2 linked regions of the Xenopus tropicalis genome follow. The protein of the gene in region 2 interacts with the protein of the main gene of each other region in a pairwise test. Links are inferred from orthologs where the notes say so. Each region holds a gene or a part of one and is shown on either strand. Other genes may lie near its edges. The genes, in order: timp-1 and cd63.

Evidence for each region.
Region 1: the proteins of cd63 (region 2) and timp-1 interact in binary tests that used the Homo sapiens proteins (3 or more experiments, as listed by UniProt). The link is inferred for Xenopus tropicalis from reciprocal best matches to the Homo sapiens genes CD63 and TIMP1.

The regions. Positions count from the first base shown.
Region 1 is NC_030684.2:1,442,397-1,445,546, forward strand, and holds the end of timp-1 (uncharacterized protein LOC100135142 precursor), read right to left. Parts: intron 2,482-3,150; coding exon 2,360-2,481; intron 970-2,359; coding exon 751-969; 3' UTR 622-750; downstream 1-621. Other genes in the region: syn1 (synapsin-1), read left to right, coding at 261-350. UniProt on the Homo sapiens protein: Metalloproteinase inhibitor that functions by forming one to one complexes with target metalloproteinases, such as collagenases, and irreversibly inactivates them by binding to their catalytic zinc cofactor.
Region 2 is NC_030678.2:137,148,270-137,152,535, reverse strand, and holds the start of cd63 (CD63 antigen), read left to right. Parts: upstream 1-1,398; 5' UTR 1,399-1,494; intron 1,495-1,982; 5' UTR 1,983-1,995; coding exon 1,996-2,061; intron 2,062-4,266. UniProt on the Homo sapiens protein: Functions as a cell surface receptor for TIMP1 and plays a role in the activation of cellular signaling cascades. Plays a role in the activation of ITGB1 and integrin signaling, leading to the activation of AKT, FAK/PTK2 and MAP kinases.

The sequences.
Region 1 (3,150 bases), on a different chromosome or scaffold from region 2:
GGGATCCCGGGTACTGATCCATTTCTGTATGGGGGAGGGGGGGAGGGATCCCGGGTACTGATCCATTTCTGTATGGGGGAGGGGGGGAGGGATCCCGGGTACTGATCCGTTTCTGTATGGGGGAGGGGGGGGGGGGATCCCGGGTACTGATCCGTTTCTGTATGGGGGAGGGGGGGGGGGGGATCCCGGGTACTGATCCATTTCTGTATGGGGGAGGGGGCAGTTATCCCGAGTTCTGATCCGTTTCCTTCTCTTTCCAGTTCTCCCAGTTGGTGCGGTTACACAGGAAGTTGGGGCCGGACGACTTCCCTCTCATAGAACAGACTTATTACCCCAACCATAAGGAGATGGTGAGTCACGGGGCGGCGGCGGCTGGGAGTCATTTCCCTGGGAATTAGCTGCCTGTGCTGTGACCTGAGTAGCCCTCTGGGTAGCCCCGCCCCCCTGGGTAGCCCCGCCCCCATACTCTCTATGCCATGGAATGTGCCCTCAAATCCCCTGCTGGGCAGCACACATGGGGCACGGGGAGCACTCAGGTAGATGGGGGGAGGCTTTGGGGGTACCCAGTATTCGGGACCCCCGTGTGTATAGAGTAAGGATATGCAGATGCTGGAGACATTGTACAAAAACCATAAAAAGACATTTATTTCCCCCGGTACAAAGGGGACGTGCACTCAAATGTACAAACCAACTCCTCCCCCTTAAAGTGGCCCCTCCCATTATCCCCCACGAAGCACCCCCCCCCCCAGGTTATTCTGCTGCGGAACCCGACGCTGCCGCCTTATTCCGGGCAGCGATGGCGCTGGGTTTCTGGGACTCCCACGAGCACAAACCGCTGCCCTGGTCCACACACGCCATGTACTTGGACTGGGACCCATTCAGGGGCTCCATCCAGTTCACCAGTACGTCGGTCCAAAGGCACTGGTTGTCGGACTCCAGGGAGCAGGTACCACTGTAGCAGGGCACAATCTGTAGGGGGGGGAAAGAAATGCCCAGTTACTATCAGCCAATAGAAATCCTCCCCTAGCGACCCACTCTAATGGGGGCAATAGGGATCTCATAGCTACTGCAGTACCAGTCCTGGGCACTAGGGGGAGCAGGTACCACTGTAGCAGGGCACAATCTGTAGGGGGGGGAAAGAAATGCCCAGTTACTATCAGCCAATGGAAATCCTCCCCTAGTGACCCACTCTAATGGGGGCAATAGGGATCTCATGGCTACTGCAGTACCAGTCCTGGGCACTAGGGGGAGCAGGTACCACTGTAGCAGGGCACAATCTGTAGGGGGGGGAAAGAAATGCCCAGTTACTATCAGCCAATGGAAATCCTCCCCTAGTGACCCACTCTAATGGGGGCAATAGGGATCTCATGGCTACTGCAGTACCAGTCCTGGGCACTAGGGGGGGGCAGGTACCGCTGTAGCAGGGCACAATCTGTAGGGGGAGGAGAGAAGTGCCCAGTTACTATCAGCCAATGGAAATCCTCCCCTAGTGACCCACTCTAATGGGGGCAATAGGGATCTCATAGCTACTGCAGTACCAGTCCTGGGCACTAGGGGGAGCAGGTACCACTGTAGCAGGGCACAATCTGTAGGGGGGGGGAGAGAAATGCCCAGTTACTATCAGCCAATGGAAATCCTCCCCTAGTGACCCACTCTAATGGGGGCAATAGGGATCTCATAGCTACTGCAGTACCAGTCCTGGGCACTAGGGGGGGCAGGTACCACTGTAGCAGGGCACAATCTGTAGGGGGGGGGAGAGAAATGCCCAGTTACTATCAGCCAATGGAAATCCTCCCCTAGTGACCCACTCTAATGGGGGCAATAGGGATCTCATAGCTACTGCAGTACCAGTCCTGGGCACTAGGGGGGGCAGGTACCACTGTAGCAGGGCACAATCTGTAGGGGGGGGAGAGAAGTGCCCAATTACTATCGGCCAATAGAAATCCTCCCCCAGCGACCCACTCTAATGGGGGCAATAGGGATCTCATAGCTACTGCAGTACCAGTCCTGGGCACTAGGGGGGGGCAGGTACCACTGTAGCAGGGCCCAATCTGTAGGGGGAGGAGAGAAGGGCCCAGTTATTATCGGCCAATAGAAATCCTCCCCTAGTGACCCACTCTAATGGGGGCAATAGGGATCTCATGGCTACTGCAGTACCAGTCCTGGGCACTAGGGGGAGCAGCTATATAGGTCAGCAAACAGAATGGGAAACTGCATGGCAAGACACAGGGGGGTTATGGGGGGAGGCTCACCCCTATTGGAGGGCACAATATAATATGGGCTGGTCAGTGAATAAAGAGAGGGTCCGGGTGGGGGCAAGACAGGATTGGGAGGGGTAACTTGCCCCACGGCTACTCACACTGCAGGAACAGGACTTGGGATAGACCTCCTGGAAGCCCTTCCTCTGGGCGACCGATAGTGAGGCCCAAGGAACGATGAAGTTGCACTGGTCGATTTGCAGGTTACCGTTCATCACGTGCCCTGGGCAGGGGCAATAAAGAGATTGGCATCAGGGGGCGTGTTGGTAGAGAGGCGGGGTTGATACTTGAGGGGGGCAGGGGATTGATACCAACCCCAGCAGGGCACATGGGGCATTCTCTTCACTGCAGCTGCCAATCACCCACTAACTGTTCCCCCTTCTGCCCCATCCTCTTCCTCCCTGTGCCACAGCCCTTACAGCATGGTGCTTGGGTGTTAGAGAGCGGGGCAGAGCTCTTACCTGTGATGAGGAACACCTACCCCCCCATCCCCTTCTGCTGCCCCATTCCCTTCCTCCCTGTGCCACAGCCCTTACAGCATAGTGCTTGGGTGTTAGAGAGCGGGGCAGAGCTCTTACCTGTGATGAGGAACACCTATCCCCCCCATCCCCTTCTGCTGCCCCATTCCCTTCCTCCCTGTGCCACAGCCCTTACAGCATAGTGCTTGGGTGTTAGAGAGCGGGGCAGAGCTCTCACCTGTGATGAGGAACACCTACCCCCCGTCCCCTTCTACTGCCCCATTCCCTTCCTCCCTGTGCCACAGCCCTCACAGTATAGTGCTTGGGTGTTAGAGAGCGGGGCAGAGCTCTTACCTGTGATGAGGAACCCCTATCCCCCCATCCCCTTCTGCTGCCCCATTCCCTTCCTCCCTGTGCCACAGCCCTCACAGTAT
Region 2 (4,266 bases):
GCTGATTTGTTCCCATCCTACAGAGCTGTGTGCAGTTGGCTCCTCTGCACAACATAAGGAGGCAAAACAGATGGGTGGAACGAGTAGCCCCAAACTTAACACATTTCTTCTATATTTATGAGTATTGATTTTTATATGGATTTTTACACAAAATGTCTCATTTGAAGTGGCCCTGTACCCATGTACACTAATTAATAAGCAGTATCAGTACCAGTAGATCACTTTAAAGTTTCTGGTAGACCTCAAGGTGGAATGCAATGGGATGACATCCCGCCACTTTTTTCCCCTCCAGCATACTGGAGACTTTGAGTGCGGCTGCTTAAGCCATCCCTCTTTGTAGTTTCATCCCAGTATAGAAGATTGTCCCCACTGGGCCGCTGATTATATTTGTTCCCACTTTATATATGTTTCTGTGTGCAGACTACAAAGTGGGCCATGAAGAAGGGAAGTAAAAACTACTACAATCCTTTCACATTAAACTTGAAGTTGCCGCTTAAATAATATTATGTGGGCGTTAAATGTGAATTTGGCACTGCATTTATATATTGCTATGTGTATTTGTTAAACATAGATTGAATTTTTTTTTGCTTATTGCGCCAAATGATAGACGTCTCACTATTTTAACTGTGGTATATCTCATGGCGGAGGCTAGGTGGCAAGAGTAGATCACAAGGTGACAAAGTCTGGGCACCCCTGCCAGTGTTGGGCTGGAACCCCAGGAGCCACCAGAATACCTTAGACTATGGGCCCACTCTCCAAAATATTTTTCCTCCTTTCCTCTCCTATTATTTTTACTTACATTCTAGCATCTATCCTTCCATCCATTTTTCCTTTGTTCCCATTCAGAAATAGGGAATGACCATGAAGTAGGCCAAATGGTCAGGAGCAGGAGGGCCCACTGAAACCTGGGCCCACTGGGAGTTTTATTTGTATCCTGGGGGGCCAGTCCCACACTGACCCCTGCTCTACTGCAATCTTTACTTGTCCCTTAGGTATAGGGAAAGCCAATCGTGTAGTTATTTTAGTTGCCACAGGGTAATCTAGGTTGGAAATGAGAAAAACTGCTTTTTCAGCGTTGTGGTTTGAAGCCCTGGGTCCCATTAAACTTCCACATCGTGGCTAATTATTAGAAAGTTGAGTTCCTGCGAAAAGTAAATGAAAAGGAAGTGGGAGTGCAAGAGCCTGTTATTGGGAAGTGAGGCACATGAGGAGAATGAGCAAGCTCCCCCCTGTCCCACTCACCCATTTCCTAACCCAAACTCGGGGGTTCCCCGGAGCAGCCCGCCCACCCTCGGTAAACATTCTCATTATGGAGCCTGTGTCATGGTGATGTCAGAGTCACATGGCGCCAGCCCTCCGTGTAATCACAAGGGGAGGAAGTGTTGCGCTAGGGAGGGGGAGGTGTAAGTGCCTGGCAGAGAGTTACTTCGCAGACTAGAGAGGCAGCACAGCAGAGTCACTCGCCGCAAGTTACCAGGGAGGAGAACGAGAAAGGTAAAGGGCGGGCAGGCAGGGTGCGGGGCAACGAGAGCGTTGGGGGCGCTAGCGGGGAGGCGCTGAGTACAATCCCAGGGAGCGCTAGCGGGGAGGCGCTGCTGTATAAATCCCAGGGAGCGCTAGCGGGGAGGCGCTGAGTACAATCCCAGGGAGCGCTAGCGGGGAGGCGCTGCTGTATAAATCCCAGGGAGCGCTAGCGGGGAGGCGCTGCAGTATAAATCCCAGGGAGCGCTAGCGGGGAGGCGCTGCAGTATAAATCCCAGGGAGCGCTAGCGGGGAGGCGCTGCTGTATAAATCCCAGGGAGCGCTAGCGGGGAGGCGCTGCTGTATAAATCCCAGGGAGCGCTAGCGGGGAGGCGCTGCTGTATAAATCCCAGGGAGCGCACAGAGGCGCAGCTGTTAGTCGGACACATCCAGCAGTGAGCGCTGCCCAGGGAGGGGTCACACTAAACTCTACTTTATCGCAGCTCTATTTCCCCTTGCAGGCAGAGCGGCAGGATGGCGGTGGAAGGGGGAATGAAATGTGTCAAGTTCCTTATGTTCTTCTTCAACTTCGTGTTCTGGGTAAGGCCACTTCTACTTCTCAATCCCAACAGCGGCCAAGGGCTGAGTCAGTGGGAGGCTCCGTGGGGCTCTGAGGTTGTTGCTATGATCCCGGGTTAGTGGTGGAAAGTGTGGCATGTTATAGTTCGGCCACAGCTTTAGAGCCGCTGATCTAGTGCTCTAGTCTAGCCCTGATATCTCCTAGTAGAGAACTTAACTCGCCCATATTAGATCAGAGTGTTTGCCAGCTTCTGCCTCACGGGCATGGGGGCTGGCACTGATTTATATCAAAGAGTGGTACGGGGGGAGGATTGTTGTCTCTTAACTCAATCTCCCCCGCTCTTATCATGGGAGGCAAGTTAGTGTGCAACAGCTGCCCGGACTGGTTATACACAGTCATGTGACCTGTGCAGCCTGTTGCCCTGGGGTGAATATTCTGCACTCTCCGGCTCCAGCTTGATTTATTCCCCCTGCTCAACAAGCTCTTCAGCTGATCAACCACAACCATTAGCTTTCCAGATGTTCAAAAAGTCGCTGGGTTCTGGGAGTTGTAGTTCAGTACCATATGGAAGGCATCCCATCGCTAGTCCTAAAAAAAACAACTATTTTTTTAAAATACATATGCTGTGCAGCAGCTATGAGGAATTTGGTACATTTCTCTAAAGCCTTTCTAAATAAATATGTAACTCCATACACACCTACAGGCAGATAATGATTTTGTAAATACATTGCAGCTGCAGTGAGTAAATAGTATCACTTTGCATGTTTATGGGATACATTGTTGGGAGTCTTCTGGCCAAGGGAAGTGCTCTGGGCACTGCCCTGAAATTGTAAGGTCTCCAAATCATTCCCTGTAGGCTTCACACCCCTCTGCAGTACTGCCTAACAGTCCAGGGCCTGTTTAATATTTGGGTAGGATATTAAAATACAGTTATTTGTAAAAAATGGTAAATGATGACTATATGATCCCAGACTGCTCAAAGAACCAGAATGTTATATTTTTTTTTAAATGACAGGTGTGACTGAGGCCTAAAGCTTACAGGGGATTTGAACTATTATGGACTAGTATATTGGCCAGTCTGCCACTCCCCTTACTTATGAAGACTATATTACCTTTAATTACAGTAATGGTTTTGCTTTTCCTTGTACGATTCTATGAAACCCAATCCCTTTCTTGAATCATAAGTAGATAATATCTCATTTAGTACTATTTGGGGCTTTCATATCTTTATGGACCACACCCATTTTAACTCTTGAAATTCTTGAAAAGTTGCCTGCATATTTTTAATGTTTTTGAACTGACCTTATACAAGGTTCTTGTATATCTGTTTTATTAAGAGGCGGGACTAAAGCTATCTGAGTTCTGGTGGAACACAGAACTGATAAGGCCACACAGTACTTCTGGTCACAAGGTTTGATGGTGCTCCTTTCACCAGGGCTGAAATGTGTACTGGTAGTGGGAGAGGTATGGAAGAGTGTTTTCCCAACCTCAGTTACTACGTTAACTGGTTCGTTTAGGAGAGAGGGGCAAGATTATCGAAAGCTGAGATTAAAATTAAAATGAAATGCGATCATATGTGTTTAAACAGACTAAGCAAACTGAAGGATTTCCTGGTTGGTTACCCAGAAAGGCTTTGCCCTTGTATGATTAAAATGTTCATATATACACGTATGCATTGTGATATCTTGTCAATATTTAATGAAGGTTTGTACACCTATTTTAGGTACTGTGTGGGCAGTGAAACAGTAGATTCTTATTTACAGAAAGGGTTGGTACATAGCTACAATTAGAGACCCGTAGGTAGGGATGCCATCTTTTATAGGGGGGGAAATTATCTTTATTCCTTACATGGAACAATTAAATCAAGCATAATTCTACTATCCAGGTGGTAACACTATTTGTAGGTTGTATGAAAGCAACAACCTAATGAGTTTAGGACATCTAGTTTTTAAAATCATGTTGCATTGTAGGCAGAATGCTCCTTTTTGAATTGATGGTTATTACCCTGTAGCAGGTTTTAAAAAGACACTCGGTGCTGCCAGTGGCACATGATATAATCTGTATGGCGGATAGACCCATAGGTGCAAGACTTACGTTATTGTTCTTTCAAGATAACTGCCTTACAAGAGCGTAGTTTCACTCATGTCTGCCTCTTGCCCCGTTGGCCAGAAAGGCCGATATTGTTTACTTTTATTCTATTTGTTATGGCCAATCTCTATGAACCC